4 separate regions of the Mus musculus genome follow, and regions 1, 2 and 3 are each reported to be linked to region 4. Evidence: microRNA targets listed by miRTarBase, many of them from high-throughput screens and not tested one by one. Region 4 holds a microRNA gene; each other region holds the end of a gene's coding sequence.

Region 1 (4,166 bases), not on the chromosome of region 4:
GGCTTGGCAGGAAACTGGTTCCACACCTACCATTTTCAATTCTGAGATTCTCCGGGGTTTTGAACTTACTTCAATCTTACCAGTTTTTCTGTCTGGTGGCACGGTCTGCTTGCTCCACATTGCTTAATCTGGAAAAAACAAAAAACAAAAACAAAAAAAAAACAACTTCCCAACATTTTTCTTTCAATAATGCCATTTGTGCTCTTTCCTAAAGATTCCTCCTGTTTTAAGTTGTTAATAATTTTATTATTCAAACAAAACTAATGCCCATCCTTTTTTTTCTGTTTCAGTACCATCATCCATATTATAACAGCATGATATAATAGCAGAAACATATTTTCTGATGCCTCTGAAAGCCGAAGAATGCTCGTTTTTGATTCCATCACTTCTCACCAGATTGAATGGAAAAAGCTCTGAAAAGTAGTTATTCAAAATAAATGGACACCTACTGCACAATAACCCAAGGACTAGGGGGCTAAAATGCTCCCCCAAGTTGATATATTGATTTCCAGTGTACAAATGGACTGAATCGCATAGATTTTCTCAGCCATTAACCATAGAATTTATGCAAAGTATATCTTTCCAAATATGGAATGCTCCAATCAGAAAAAGACTATCATTGGTTGTTGAGTTACTGACTGTCTTAGTCAGGGTTTCTATTCCTGCACAAACATCATGACCAAGAAGGAAGTTGGGGAGGAAAGGGTTTATTCGGCTTACACTTCCATACTGCTGTTCATCACCAAAGGAAGTCAGGACTGGAACTCAAGCAGATCAGGAAGCAGAAGCTGATGCAGAGGCCATGGAGGGATGTTCTTTACTGGCTTGCTTCCCCTGGCTTGCTCAGCCTGCTCTCTTACAGAACCAAGACTACCAGCCCAGGGATGGTCCCACCCACAAGGGACCTTTCCCCCTTGATCACTAATTGAGAAAATGCCTTACAGTTAGATCTCATGGAGGCATTTCCTCAACTGAAGCTCCTTTCTCTGTGATAACTCCAGCTGTGTCAAGTTGACACAAAACTAGCCAGTACACTGGCTCTGTGTAAACAGTGTGTTTCTAAAATCCCAAATGTAGGAAAAATATGCAGATGCACACATATAGGCCACATTTTAGTAATAATATGAAATATACTTAAAGAGCTTTTAAACTTCGTATTTTTATACAAAATATTTGCCTTTTACAATCATTTTCCTTTTTTTAATGTACCTATATGATACATAAAGCCAAAGATAATAATAGCGGTACTAATAAAATTTCATGGAGTTTCTCTTCAGATTTAATCTGTCCAGCTGAAGAAAATTTTTGTTGTATGTGTCTATGTCTGTGTGATTTCTTCAGAACCGTGAATCACATGAAGCATCTGGAAATGCCCTTGTACATTTTGGTGATGGCGGAGCTCAAGCCTGAGAACATCATGACAGCTCATTCAAGTAGGCTGTGCCACTAGCCCAGCACTGGCCACTTCCAGTAAGAGGAAGTGTTAAGCTGGGAAGTGGTGGTGTACGCCTTTAATCCCAGCACTTGGGAGGCAGAGGCAGGCGGATTTCTGAGTTCGAGACCAGCCTGGTCTACAGAGTGAGTTCCAGGACAGCCAGGGCTACACAGAGAAACCCTGTCTTGAAAAACCAAAAAAGAAAAAAAAAAGAAAGAAAGAAAGAGAGAGAGAGAGAGAAAGGAAGAAAGAAAGAAAGAAAGAAAGAAAGAAAGAAAGAAAGAAAGAAAGAAAGAAAGAAAGAAAGAAAGAAAGAAAGAAAGAGGGAAAGGAAGTGTTGACTTGGGATGTGCTTTTGTTCTACTTTGTGGATCTGGAATGATGGAGAAGCATCTGTGGGGACGGACAGAGCACCTGAATCTGGGTGTCTCCAAGGCCCTGGTTTAAGGCTGATTTATAAACAGGCTTAGTGTCAGACTCATATCAGAGCAGGCAAGAGATTATAATGTCACATCAGACAAAGGCAGCCAAGTGATGCTTGCAAGACAGAAACCAGCTACATGCCATTTGGAAAGTAGAATTCTCAAAGCATAACTCCAAGACATGGGCTAAATGAAATGCAAAAGTAAACTTTTGGTTATTTGTTGAACCCTGAAAAGAATCTTCCCTTGTGATTCTAAGACTTGTGTGTACTCCTGTCTTTGCATCTGTTTCATAGCTCAGGCAGAGGGTGAAGGTTGTCCAAGCCCCTGTCCCATGTCACCTATTGTTGGGGCCGGCCTGTGGCTCTCATGTCTGGGTTTGAGCCTGGGATGCATCTTGGAACTGAAAGAAAAGAGGGAATCTAGGCAGGTTGAGAGAGAAATGGAACCAAGACAATATTCTGATCAAGGTTCAACTTTAATGTCAGAGAACACGCTTTATAAAGAAGAGGGGAGGCCCATTCCCAGCTAAGTTTCTTGTGAAGTTGTCAGATCAGTCTTTTAGCAGGAACTCTCGAAAATCACAGTTCAATGTTAACTCTGGAAGATCTTGGGAAACCAGTTCTGCCTCAGGCAGGTAGCAGGTAATGGCACATCAAAGGAGAGGGATGAGAAGCAGCACAGCAGGTGGCTCTGCCTCAGTGGCAGATGGTCTGAGCCAGCCTGACTAGGCTGGAAGGAGGTTACAACCTATATTCTTTCTTCCCTTATAAAGTGTAAGCTTCCAGAGAAGTGATCACATATAAACATTTCAGGTAAGCTTGGAACCCTAGGATGTAATATTTAGCCAAAAGAAAAGGAAATTAAAATTTTAAGACCTGCCTAACCTCTTCAGTTATTAATTTCTATACTAGACAAGGTACATATGTCATGGGAAATCAAAGGTGTCCTTAACGACAACAGCAAATCATAATGGATAAATTGAGCATGTGAACCACCTCAACAAAGAGAGACTTTTAAGCCTTTCCACATGACACATGAAAGTGAACTGTTTTATTCATATTTAATTCTTCTTTAATCTGATCTGTAACCAAACCTCAGTTACTGCTCTTACAGAGGATCTGAGTTCAGTTTTCAGCACCCAAGTTGGAGAACTTTCAACTTTCTACAACTCCAGATCCAGGGAACTAAAAGCCTCCATGACACAGCTGTCATACACCCACACAGATACACACAGACACCTAAGTAAAAAAATTTAAAAATCTTTTTAAAGGGTTTGTTCCTAGACTTATCTTGTTATGCCATATTCAGTGGATATTCCTGGGAGGACTGCTCTTTTCTAAAGAGAAACAGGAAGAGTGGATCTGGGGGAGTGAGAAGAATGGGGGGAGTGGGAAGTTCAGTCAGGATTAATTTTTTTTAAATGAACAAACTTTTTTAAAAAACAGAAAAAAAAGCAAGTATATTAACTGTGATATTTGAATTTGCCAAATGTACACTGGATATACTTATACCTGTCTCACAGAGTCATTGCAAATTTTAATGAGGTGATATGCAGAAATCACCTACTACAGTGTCTGGCTCCAAAGATACATGTCATGCTCTTAGTTCCTTTCTCTGTTTAGAAATCTTTCAAGTACCTGGTTCAGCTAAGGAAATAACAAGTTTTAAGTCATTGCAGACACCTAATAACTTGACCCAGGTAAGTGAGGGAACAGTTCTTTATAGAGTAGTAGCTCCCATTAAAGCAGGCTTGGTTCCATGCCAGGAAAAAATGGAACCTTGGGTAGAAAGCAAGGAAGTAATTTTTCTTTGTCAGAGACAGGCTGACAAGCATGTCTTGAATCCCACTAGGGACATTCCACACACGGGAGGTTGTAAGGGAAAGATTGTAGTAAGTTCTTTATATGGTACATGCTCACACTAGACTAGGAATCAGCAAATATGGCCGATAGTCTGTTTTTATAAACAAACTTGTTAAAACACAGGTTCATTGGTTTATTTACTTTCTGTCACACACAAATGTTTGATCCCCAGCCTATGGCATCACTGGGAGATGAGGTCTTGTGAGAGGGAACTGTGTCACTGGGAAAATGTCTTTCTATCTCTTTACTTCATGGCCACAATAAGGTAGATGGGCCTTTGCTACCACATTGTTCCCACTGCCATAAGCCCAAGGCAGTAGGAGCAAGAGACCTCTGAAGCCTCTAAAACTATGAAATGAAAGAAAATCTTTTCCTTCTTCTACCTTGCGTTTGTTGAGTATGTAGTGATGGAAACTAATGCAGTGCCTGAGGTGGTTGCTTCTG
Region 2 (4,166 bases), not on the chromosome of region 4:
TCTTCTGCTGCCTTCCCAGGACTCCCTAGTTCTGCACACTTCACTGCTGCTAGAGGCCAGGTATGTTCACCTTTGAGGTTTCTTCTTGACTGACAAGAGGTGAGGTGGAGCACCTTTGACTGTTTATGGGCCTTCAGATAGTTAAGGCACATGGATCTATGTGAATTGCCCGATGTAGGTTAATCATCAAAAAGAAAGTATTGTATGTCTTTTACAACTGGCTTTTAGAGCAGCAATTCTCAACTTGTGGGTTTTGACCCCCTAAAGAACATTGGAAAAATACAGATATTTATATTATGATTCATAACAGTAGCAAAATTACACTTAGGAAGTAACAATGAAAATAATTTTATGGTTAGGTGTCACCAAGACATGAAGACATGTATTAAAGGGTCGCAGTGTTAGAGAGGTTGAGAACCATTGCTTGGCTGTGAGTTATTTAACTCCTCCATGTGTATCGGCTCTAACCTTAATGATTTCCAGAAAGCAAACCTTTTATATTTCACGAGCATTTCTTTTATTGTTTAAGGGCTCTCTATCAGAGGGCTTCCTGTTAGTGTTTTTAAAGAACATAGTGGGAAGGTGTTAAAAAATGTTCTTAGTCCTGAACACAGGGACCCCAATGGAGGAGCTAGAGAAAGTACCCAAGGAGCTGAAGGGGTCTGCAACCCCATAGGTGGAACAACAATATGAATAGCCAGTACACCCAGAGCTCGTGGCTCTAGCTTCATATGTAGCAGAAGATGGCCTAGTCGGCCATCATTGGGAAGAGAGGCCCCTTGGTCTTGCAAACTTTATATGCCCCCGTGCAGGGGAATGCCAGGGCCAGGAAGTGGGAGTGGGTGGGTTGGGGAGCAGGGTGGGGGGGGAGGTATAGAGGACTTTCGGGATAGCATTTGGGATGCAAATGAAGAAAATATCTAATTTTTAAAAAGGTGTTCTTAGCACACTTGAAATGCCTTTTGGAATCAGTATGGTTGAACTTGACAGTAAAATAACCTTCTGAGCCCCCTTAATGAGAAGCCAACCCATCTTTCCAGGCTTGGCTTAAATAACTTCTTCATGGGAATGCTATTACCAGCTTCCCTCCTAGTTCATTAGGAAGAATATCATTGGGTTAGCTCCATACGTTGGTTACCCTTCAGAAAACTCCAAGCTGGCTTGCACTCCCCCACCTCCCCAGCCTCAGGGATCCTTAGTCCAGGCAGACAAGTCAGAAATGATGCCACACAGACAGTCATTCACCAGATATATTTGAACTCTAAGCTCTTTGAGCTGTACACGTGCACAAATGATTCAGTTGGTGGAAACCTTCCCCTTCCCCTCCATTTAAAAACGTTTCAAACTTAAAAGAGCGCTAAAGAGGTTTGCATAATGAGCATCATGGAAGTGTCCAGGTGACTTTCTCGATGCTGGGAGGTCCCGTGGCTTCCCCATTCCTTCTGGGGAAAGCTCCCCCTCCCCCGTCCCCATGCTCAATCTAGCGCGAGAACCCCTTGATCTGTAGCAGGTTAACGTCAACAGATGGCAATACAGTTTACTAAGACTAATCATCTGGGCCGTCTAGAACACTGAGTTCTTAAGGACTATGCAAGGTAGTCACACTCAACTTTTACTAAATTAGACATTTCTGCTATCATTGTTTGGAAGCGCAAATTATTTCCCAGACTTTCATTTTGTTTCTCTCTCTCTCTCTCTCTCTCTCTCTCTCTCTCTCTCTCTCTCTCTCTCCTGCATCCTGAAAGTTAATGTGGATTAGAAGGTCAGCCCCTGGTAGTTGACTGTTGTAATCAATCCATCTATACAACCGATTTCACTGTTTCTGCCACGAGAGGGCATCATCTCGCCACTATTTCTAGTCTTTCCATGGCCAATTTAAAAAAAAGAAAACAAAACCTTCCACAACAAAGGAAAGTCAAAGCCTTTGCTTACTGTGTACACTCCTCAGATCTGATTTTGAAAAGACGACTTGTTTTCCCCATGGAAACTTAGGATTCCACAAGCAATACTGTCCTCGGTCTCAATCGTACTGTACCGTGTCCGGCACTATATTGCTATATTTCACAGTAGAACGGACTTTTAATTTTCTGAATGATCAGTCTAGGTTTGAAGTTTCTGCGGAAACTAACATACACCTTAATCAAAAAACCACAATTATCCCCCCATCAGGTGGCTGTGTTAGTGTTCTTGTGTGTTACTCCGAGGCTTAGGCCATGAAAGTCCTTGCCTGTTGTGTGGTAAATGGTATTTGCATCCAAAGTTACTAGTTAATGAACAGGAATAGATGAGGCTTGACACATGGAGCAGAAAGTATGGTTCTGCAGGTGTATCTTCTGTAATGCACTTTGGGCTAGAGATATACAAAAGTCACACATAACAAAAACAAGGAACTTTTGAGCGCATGGGCATTGGATGAATGGGAAGGGCATCCGTTTACCCATCATCCTTTGTGCTCTGAAATGCTCAGCTGTATACATTTCTTGGATTTAGCGTCACCCAAGTTGCTTATAACTGATACTTGGATCTTTGTTTGGAAACAGGTGGTTTGGACAGCAAAGGTTGGCTAGTCAGTTATCTATTGGCATGAGACATTGCTGTTCCCTTTTACAACTTAGCACGAACCGCAATAGCATGTAATAGTATCAGGTTATCTACATTAGAATCAGAATGCATTCAGAAGCAACACAGGTATGATGTCATTAAGCAGCTAATGGTTGAACAATCACTAAATAAAAAACATCCAGATTTTAAAAGCACAGCTCAAACATCTGTACAAATATACAAAGGGGTAGGGGACAGTCATTCAGACACTATGAGATTTTATAATAAATAGGTTTGTCTGAAATCGGTCTCTGTCACTTGGACAAGCCTCCCCAGTAACACTGGGTAGACCTCTGTGGTAGTGATGTTCAACATCTTTGGGGCCATGCTCAATTTTACCTCCAGGAATTTGGCCAGAGTTATATGATGTAATTGACTCAAACTAATAATGATTCCCAGACTTATTGAGCTGAATGGTGCTGCGGATGCCCCTTGTCTATACAGGACAGGGCTGGGATACCACAAGTTGGGGCATACCCTCAAAATCATCAAAATCAATGCTGGTGATCGTGCATGTCCTGGGAATGTCGGGATGCAGAGGACTGGGTGAGACCAGATAGGGGGATCTCATGCAGTCAAAGCCAAGTTTACTTATGGTCCTATATAAGTGGCCAGGAAAAAAACATCACACACACACACACACACACACACACACACACACACACAGGACTGAACTGGAGCAGCTCACAAACAACATAAAGGCTCTTCATTACCGATGTCTCTGGCTTGGATCAACATGAAAGAACAGAGATATGGGCTGTACTGATTATTTAATAAGAAAATACTACCCTCTATCTAGAACTTTCTAAGTGATGGATTGTAGTTAATGGGTAGGAGTTGATTGGGAGACATATCACCTTTGCCTAGCCCTTTTGTCCGAGAGGCTTAATTACAAGGAAGGATTCGCAAACAACCAAACACCCAGGGACTTAAAGGCAATTAATTGTTTGGACAAACAACAAGGGGGGGGGCGGGAAGCATGATAAGAGGAGATGCATGTTATCATGGACGTGCTCAGTTGGACACGGAGGGTGGCAGGCCGGGACGCCGGGTCTGGATGATTTTTGGCTTTGGGGAAGTCTTTGGGTCCTCCTCCTCCTCCATGTCGCTGTCACACACATGCACCACGACGCTCGGTGTAGACTCAGTTCCAGCGTGCAGCTCATATTTCTCTCCTGAAAAGCAAGAGACATTGGCTGAGAAAAGGGACAGAGGTTTGTTGTTTGGTTGGTTGGGGTTTTTTTTTTTTTTGTCTATTTGTTGTTGTTTGTTGTTGTTTTGTTTTGTTGCTGTTTTGAGACAGGGTCTCTCTGTGTAGCTCCAGCTGTCCTTTAACTCACTCTGCAGACTAGCCTGGCCTCAATCACAGAGATCAACCTGCCTATGCTTCCTAAGTGCTGGGATTAAAGGCATGAGCCTGGCTGAAGGTGTTTTTAAATTCATTTTCTCATATATTACATCCTGACCACAGTTTCCTCTCCCCCACTCTCTCCCTGCATTTCCCCCACCTACCCCTCCATTTCTCTTCAGAAAAGGGCAGGCCTTCCATGGATATCAACCAAAGA
Region 3 (4,151 bases), not on the chromosome of region 4:
GGTTTATCCTGACGTTACAAACCAGCAATGTGCATTAGCATTCAGTGAACTCGAGATGATGACTAATCTCTGGGTCTCTGCTTAGGTTCTAGGAGCTGCCTTTGTGAATCAGCCGCTCACAGTCCAGGTGGTCTTCTCAAACCCGCTCTCAGAGCCGGTTGAGGACTGTGTGCTGACCTTGGAAGGAAGTGGTCTCTTTAGAAAGCAGCAGAGAGTTCTGTAAGTGCTGGGAGCACTCTGTCTTCCCTCTCAATGTTTCCTCCCTTTCGTATTATCAGGCCCCTAGGCCAGACACAGGACGCTGGAAAACAGAGTCCAGGAACTGACAAGGAGAGGGGTTTTCTGACATTCTCCTCTCTCTTTGCAGCATTGGCGTCCTCAAACCCCATCACAAAGCCAGCATCACTCTGAAGACCGTCCCCTTCAAGAGTGGCCAAAGGCAGATCCAAGCTAATCTGAGGAGCAATAGGTTTAAAGACATCAAGGGCTACAAGAACGTGTATGTAGACATTGGCTTATAAACTCTGAGACAGAGGCTGGAGAGATGGCTCAGCGGTTGACAGGATGTGACAGTCCTTTGCAAAGGACTTGGGTTCAATTTTCCAGAACCCACAAGGTGGCTCACAATCCTCTGTAACCCCATTTTCAGGGGAATCCAACCAGCATACATGGTGCACATACATGCATGCAGAAAAAAAAAAAAAACCCCGACTTTCATACACATAAAGTGAAAATAAATAAATCTAAAATTTTTTAAAATTTCATTTAAAATAAACTCCGAGATATGGCAGCAGTATGGATTTTAAAATGAAGGCCTAACCAAACTCTGTCATCAACATCAAGGGAGATGCCAGAGATAGCTAGTTTACACAACTTGTCGGGACTCTACCCAGGGATTCTACCTTACAGAAGTGTGATTTGGCACAGAGGTCAAGGGAAGACAGGCTTAGCAGCTCTCTATCTCTTTGTATCTGCGCCGATGTCACAGCATGGGCAAACCCCATTCCCTTCCTTGCCCTCACCCTTCACTTTCCCTTCAGAGCTCCAATGGCCCTTCAGTTGCTAATGAGTTCCCTGTTGTTTCAAGGTCTAAGCCCATCCACTCATTCAAGAAGTATTCACTGAGTGTCCAGAGTATAGCAATACCACTCTGAGTATAAGAGACAAGCAAAAGCCCTGGCATGCTGAGCCCTCATTCTAGAGGGAACAGGGAAAATAGACATCCTGGCAGGTGCCCATCACAACGTAGGCAAAGGGCAAAGATCCCCAAGGTTTCTTATACCCATGTCCTGCCTCAGTTTCTTGGCAAAAAGAGAGTAAAATAAAATCCTGGCAGATCTCTCCCTCAGGTCTTCCCTTAACTATACTTCCCGTATAGCATTGACATTATTGCTCAGTACTCTCAGTCCCAGGGTCTCCATCCAATTCACTGTGTCCTTACAGGTCTGCCATTGGCTGGCAGTCGGGAGGTAAAAGCCAACTGAATGATGTAATGAGGTAGATATTTGGTGGGAATGAACTAGCCTCTGGTCTCAGCGTACACTGAAGGTCGCTCAAACCCTGCCCTCTCAGGGTGCTACACACAGAGCAACTTTGCACCTGTTTACCCGGGCCACTGCCAATGAAAGGCATGATGGATGCTGCCCTCCAGGCACTGGCTACTGTGACTGAGGCAGAGGTCCTAGTAAGTGTTCAGTCATTAAATAGAAGTTAACGACTTCCATTACACATAAACAAAAAGGGTCAATGTCGTTAATCTCAATCAGAGAAGGGGTGTGGTGGGAATTACCTTGTAAGCCGATTGTCCTGTATCTGAGAACCAGGAGCTGGCAGCACAGCTGGAAGTAACCTACAATTACTTTACCCTATAATTACCACATGACAAGAATAAGAAAGCATTTAAGGAAAACACCGTGGAGTGGCACACCTGAGAGTCAGTGAACTCTGAAGTACTTGGGAGTCTTCAGCTGCCACATTCTCAAGCTTGTCCATGAGTCCTGTTGTCAACTCCACATTCATCAGCTCCCTCAACAAATAGTGGCTGAGTTTCTTCTTTCAGGCACAAGGCCCTGAGGCAGCGGGCACCGAGTATATACACGAAGGCCCTGAGGCAGCGGGCACTGAGTACATACACGAAGGCCCTGAGGCAGTGGGCACCGAGTATATACACGAAGGCCCCGAGGCAGCGGGCACCGAGTACATACACGAAGGCCCCGAGGCAGCGGGCACCAAGTATATACACGAAGGCCCTGAGGCAGCGGGCACCGAGTACATACACGAAGGCCCTGAGGCAGCGGGCACCGAGTATATACACGAAGGACCAGAGCGGGTGCACAAGGGGCTCAAGCACAGGCATTTGAAGAATGTGGAATAGGTGGGAGATTTTTAAAGACTTTTAATTTTTTTTATTTTAACGTTTTTACATTTATTTTTAGTGAGTGTTCCGTGAGCACACATGCATGTGTGTGAACATGCATGTATGGCCACATGAATGTCGTAGCATGCAGTCAGAGAACAACTTGACAACTTCTACCACATGACTCAGGTCATCAGACTTGGCAGCAAGTGCCTTTACCCACTGAGCCCTCTCACCTACTGTCTTCGTCAGGGCTTCTATTCCTGCACAAACATCATGACCAAGGAGCAAGTTGGGGAGGAAAGGGTTTATTCAACTTACACATTCACATTGCTGTTCATCACCAAAGGAAGTCAGGACTGGAACATATACAGGGCAGAAAGCAGGAGCTGATGCAGAGGTCATGGAAGAGTGCTGCTTACTGGCTTGCTTCCCCTGGCTTGCTCAGTTTGCTTTCTTATAGAATCCAAGACTACCAGCCCAAGTATAGCACCATCCACAATGGGCCCTCCCCTCTTAATCACTAATTGAGAAAATGCCTTACAGCTGGATCTCATGGAGGAATTTCCTCACCTGAAGCTCCTTTCTCTGTGATAACTCCAGCTTGTGTCAAGTTGACACACAAAACCAGCCAGCACAACTACCAAGGAGATTTTTAACAGAGTCCAAGGAAGTAGTAGAAGCCCTTGTTTTTTCTCACCATATTTATAGCAAGAGAGTCTGAGACTGGCTGTGTGGGAAGGGCAGGCAGTGGCAACAGCTAAACCTTGTTGCCTAGGCTCTGCTGCTCTCTGATCTTTGGCTTAATTAAACCATTTCCCAGCCTTTCTTCATCAGGTGAGCACTCACATGCAATATGTAACACCTCTACACCTACCTCTGAGGCTTCATTTTCTAGTATCCAGCTTGGGACTGGCTGCTTTTCCCTAAGCATAACAAGAATAACTTGATTTCAAACTGTTGTTATCAGAACCCAGAGTTCCCCTGCTTCCTCTAGGATGAGGCTTGGCTTTCTTTAACCATATGAGAGCAAGGAGCTTCCTGAAGGGAGGCAGGCCAGGAGCCTGGACTAGCCAAGGTGTCTAGGGACTGTTAAGTCTGAGAACATGAGTGAATCTGTGGGCATGTGTGTGTGTGTGTGTGTGTGTGAGAGAGAGAGAGAGAGAGAGAGAGAGAGAGAGAGAGAGAGAGAGAGAGAGAGAGAGAGAGAGAGATCTGTGTTCAACTTCAGGCTCTGGATGATGCTAATTTACTCTAGAGAATATTCTCTCTGCCAGTTCAAATGGGGGTAAAGCATTGTAATTGGGGCTGATTTAAAACTGGTTTCTGGACCTGAGATGCCTCAGTGGTTAAGAGCATTGGCTGTTCTTGCAGAGGACCTGGGTTCAGTTCCCAGCACCCATACGGCAGCTCACAACTAACTACCAGCTCACAACTAACTCCAGATCTGATGCCCTCCTCTGACCTCCATGGGCACTGCACACGCATTGTGAAATTAATTTATTAAAATAAAATAATTTTTTAAATTATAAAATAAAATTGCTTTCTGTCTCCTATTTACTGTTTTCTCCTGGAGTCCCTTTTTGGCCCCAATCAAAATTGTGAAGTATTTACTGGGACCCTTCACCCTTGGAGAGCCTAGAACTCCATTTTTGTGAGGCTGCCAGATGATCTCAGATTCCCACACATTTACCTGCCAACTATAAATCAGCAAATGTCCATGGAAAGGCAGGAGCTGGGATCAAGATCATTTCTATGCACGCTCCTCCAAAGATCTTGACCCAGCCAATCCTTG
Region 4 (4,166 bases):
CTCCCGCCGCCCCTCTCTCTTTCTTAAACTCCACATTTTATTCCCCTCCTGGTCCACCCTCCAACTGTTCCACATTCCACATCCCATACCTCCTTCTCATGCCCCTGTCTCCATGAGGATGTCTTCACCCTTCACCCCACACCTCTCACACAAGCAGACCTCTAAACTTCCTGGGGCCTCCAGTCTCTTGAGGGGTATAGCTTCTCAGGCTAAACCCAGACCTGGCAGTCCTCTGCTGTATATGTGTTGGGGGCCTCTTATTAGCTGGTGTATGCTGCCTGGTTGGTGGTCCAGTGTTTGAGAGATCTCGGGGATCCAGATTAATTGAGACTGCTGGTCCTCCTACACGGTCGCCCTCCTCCTCAGCTTCTTCCAGCTTTTCCCTTATTCAACCGCAATTTGTGCAAGGTGACAAATATGGATCTATTTTCATTCTTCTACATACAGACAGCCAGTTATACCAGCACAGCACCATTTATTGAAGATGCTTTCTTTTTTCCATTGTATGTTTGTCTTCTTTGTCAAAGATCAAGTGCCTGTAAGTGTGTGGTTTTATTTGTGGGTCTTTAGTTCTATTCCATTGATCAATGTGTCTGTCTCTGTAACAATACCATGCAGTTTTTAATCACTATTGCTCTGTAGTATTTAAGCTTGAAGTCAGGGATGGTGATTTCCCCCAGCCATTCTTCTGTTGTTAAGAATTGTTTTCACTATTCTTTTTCTGCTTTTGTTTTTGTTTTTGTTTTTGCCTTTCCAGATGAATTTGAGCATTGCTTTTTCAGTGTCTGAAGAATGTGTTGGGATTTTGATGGGGATTGCACTGACTCTGTAGATTGCCTTTGGTAGGACGGCCATCTTTACTGTTGGTGCTGCCAATCCATGAGCATGGGCGGTCTCTCCATTTTCTGAGGTCTTTAATTTCTTTCTTGATAGACTTGAAGTTATTGTCATAAAGATCTTTCACTTGTTTGGTTAGAGTTACCCCAAGATATTTTATATTATTGTGGCTATTGTGAAAGGAGTTGTTTCCCTAATTTCTTTCTCAGCCTGTTTATCCTTTGTATAAAGGAAGGCTACTGATTTATTTTATCCAGCCACTTTGCTGAAGTTGTTTACTAGCTGGAGAACTTCTCTGGTAGAGTTTTGGGGCCACTTATGTATAGTATCATGTCATCTGCACATAGTGATGCCTTTATTTCTTCTTTACCAATTTGTATCCCCTTGGTCTCCTTTTGTTGTCTTATTTAGCTAACACTTTGAGTACTATATTGAATAGATATGGGGAGAGTGGGAATCCTTTTCTTGTCCCCGATTTTAGTGAGATTGCCTCAAGTATGTCTCCATTTAATTTGATATTGGCTGTTGGTTTGCAGTAAATTGCTTTTATCATGTTTAGGTATGGGCCTTGAATTCCTGATCTCCAATACCTTTAACATGAAGGGGTGTTGTATTTTGTCAAATGCTTTTTTTTTTTCTTTTGGTTTTTCAAGACGTGGTTTCTCTGTAGCCCTGGCTGTCCTGGAAATCACTTTGTAGACCAGGCTGGCCTCGAACTCAGAAATCCGCCTGTCTCTGCCTCTCGAGTGCTGGGATTAAAGGCGTGCGCCACCATGCCCGGCCAAATGCTTTTTCTGCATCTAAGGATATGGTCATTTAATTGTTTTTTTCCATGATCATCTCCTTAAATGCAGAAAAAGCAGCCAGTTTTCTGCTTCATTTTCCTATTTTTAGTTACTATAAGGTATGTCATTTGTTTTACTATAGTTTTATTTTTTTATTCAAATATTGGAAATAATATTATAAATACTATAATTATTATTTATTGAAAGAAATTTCTAATAATTGATTTTTTTGTAGGTGGTATAAGAACAAATATGATTTATAGAAATTTATTTATTTTTGAGTTAGGTTCTCACTAATTAGCTTTGGCAAGCCTAGAACTCTTTGTGTAGACCAGGCTAGCCTGGAACCGACTTGCCTCTGACTACTGTGTGTTAGGATTAAAGGTGTGAACCACTGCTCCTGGCAAATATACTTAAAAGATAAAATGGTGTTTTGTATTTTATAAGCATTTCATTCACACATGAATGCGTAATATATATATTATTCATGTGTTATATTTAATAAAATCTCAGTACATTCTTAGATTACAAAGATTTATGTTTGATTTTTCAGTTAGTTCTTTAGGTTGGGAAACAAGGTAATGGGTTCCATGTTGACGTTTCATACCTATGTCATTACACTTCAGTATGCATCCTTTGTGCTTGTTGTCCAGGAAACACTGACAGCACAGCTGGCAGAGAAAAATAGTGAGCTTCAGAAGTGGAGAGAAGAGCGTGACCAGCTGGTCACAGCTGTAGAGACACAGATGAAGGCTCTGCTCTCCAGCTGCAAGCACAAGGATGAAGAAATCCAGGAACTAAGAAAGGCTGCAGCAAAGAGCACCGGGACAGTGAGTGGACGCCGGCTCTTTCTGTATCTCCTTGTTGAAAATTACTTTTCAAAATTACTTCTCAGCTGTGTAGACTCAGTATATCAGAAAGGATATATAGCATTTTGTATATTTTCATGGTTTTTTATTTTTTTGAGTTTATTACTGATTAGTCAATGTCTAGAATATAACAACTTGTCTTGATACTTTTCATACTTCCCAGATTAAATAATTAAAAGTCTATAATTTAGGATTATCTTAATCTATCTTAAAAATGTAGAAAGGTGGTTCGGCATGAAGTTTTGGTGAGTCTTATAGAATTAGACCCACTCTTAATTAAATTTAATTTTAAAAATTTGAGGTGGTCAGTCTCAGTATAGCTCTGTCTGTCCTGGAACTTGTTGAGATATACCTGCCTCTACTAGGAATAAAGGCATCACCACCAATGCACCCACTCTAGCCCACCATTAATTTTATTATGTAAAGATAAAAAAATATTTTAAAAGTAAGTATAGTGATGAAGAGGCATCAGGAGTTGGCAAAGCAATTACTTTTTTAGTTGGGGTTGGAAATCCTAATCTGGGAGCTTGTCTTTTATAGATAGCACATCCTTATAAACCATCGGGGCATATTTGAAGATTGGGAGACAGATGGAAGTAGATCTGTGTGAGTTTAAGGCTAACCTGGTCTACATAGCAGGTTTCAGGCCTAGCAGGGCTGCATAGTGAGGATATCTCCATCAATAAAATAGGGAACACTGTCTTCTTAGCATCATACAGTTATAACACTTGGGAGTTGCTCGCTCTCCATATGAATGCAATGTAGAATCTCTGTTACTTGCCAATATTAGGGAGATGACATGAGCACACTTGAATGGCTGTGCTATGATAAATATTGGAGTTTATTAAGTTAAAAACATGTTGTATTTCTTTATGAGTCCCATAAGTAGTGTTTTGGAATAAGCCCCTTCTTAAAGGAAAATGGCATGTAAGAAAAGATTTAGTTACTATTTTCTCTTTTTCTATTCTTAATGTTGTGGTTGCTTAACTAAGCAGCCTCTAGGTTCATTACTTTATTTTTAATTTTTACATATATTTATTTTGTATGTGTGTATGTGTGTGTACACATAGACCGCAGCATGTTTCTGGAAGTCAGAGCAGAAACACAGGGAATTGACTTTTGTCCTCTACTGTGTAGGTTATAGAATCCAACTCAGTGTCAGTCTGACATGGCTTGCTTGGTGGCATGTGCCTTCACTTGTTAAGCCATTCTGCTAACCCACCTCGAGTTTTTCAAAAATCATTTTATCAAAATTGCGATTCAAAGTTCCAGCTAAGGCTTAACATAGCTTGTCACTTTGTTAAGAAAATAGAACAGAATAGAAGGCATGCAGACACGCCCATACTCAACTGCATAGGTGAGAAGGTAACATTTAGGACTCAGTTCTTTCTTTCCACTGTGGGTTCCACAGATTGGATTCAGGTTGTGATACCTGAAATCCAGGAGATTCTACCTGCTGAGGCACCTGTCTTGTTTTTTGCCTTTTGCTTTTAAAGGCAGAATCTTACTGTGACCTTGAACATGCACATGATGCACATGCACATGATTCCCCTGTGCATCCTGAATGCTGATCACAACCATTCACCACCATGCCCACTTAAGAGTGATCTCTACATTTAACTAGACAGTTACACCGCAAGTAATGGCACGTGGGTGCAATCTTTCAGATACGTCT

The links. Region 4 holds the annotated microRNA mmu-miR-1950 (UCUGCAUCUAAGGAUAUGGUCA, at 1,631-1,652, shown strand). A microRNA usually pairs through its seed, bases 2 to 8, with sites in the 3' UTR of a target mRNA and lowers its output. Matches are read on the target gene's strand: a 7mer-m8 pairs with bases 2 to 8, a 7mer-A1 pairs with bases 2 to 7 and ends in A, and an 8mer does both.
Region 1: the mRNA of Colec12 is a reported target of mmu-miR-1950. Seed matches in the 3' UTR shown: 8mer at 791-798 and 7mer-A1 at 1,085-1,091.
Region 2: miRTarBase lists Rcan2 as a target of mmu-miR-1950. Seed matches in the 3' UTR shown: 7mer-m8 at 1,732-1,738.
Region 3: miRTarBase lists Tgm5 as a target of mmu-miR-1950. Seed matches in the 3' UTR shown: 7mer-A1 at 686-692.

Annotation. Positions count from the first base shown.
Region 1 is chr18:9,876,698-9,880,863 of GRCm38, forward strand. It overlaps Colec12 (collectin sub-family member 12), which reads left to right. Exons shown (of 10, transcript NM_130449.2): 10 at 291-1,298. The coding sequence ends at 310. Among named protein-coding and RNA genes, the nearest start is that of Thoc1, 79 kb to the right of the region's middle.
Region 2 is chr17:44,036,583-44,040,748 of GRCm38, reverse strand. Rcan2 (regulator of calcineurin 2) reads right to left here. Exons shown (of 5, transcript NM_207649.1): 5 at 1,233-3,776. The coding sequence ends at 3,616. Among named protein-coding and RNA genes, the nearest start is that of Gm34857, 5.1 kb to the left of the region's middle.
Region 3 is chr2:121,042,749-121,046,899 of GRCm38, reverse strand. It overlaps Tgm5 (transglutaminase 5), which reads left to right. Exons shown (of 13, transcript NM_028799.3): 12 at 86-219; 13 at 368-789. The coding sequence ends at 521. Among named protein-coding and RNA genes, the nearest start is that of Epb42, 7.9 kb to the right of the region's middle.
Region 4 is chr19:34,963,772-34,967,937 of GRCm38, forward strand. Mir1950 (microRNA 1950) reads left to right here and starts at 1,625; the gene lies at 1,625-1,698. It overlaps Kif20b (kinesin family member 20B), which reads left to right. Exons shown (of 32, transcript NM_001362434.1): 26 at 2,276-2,452.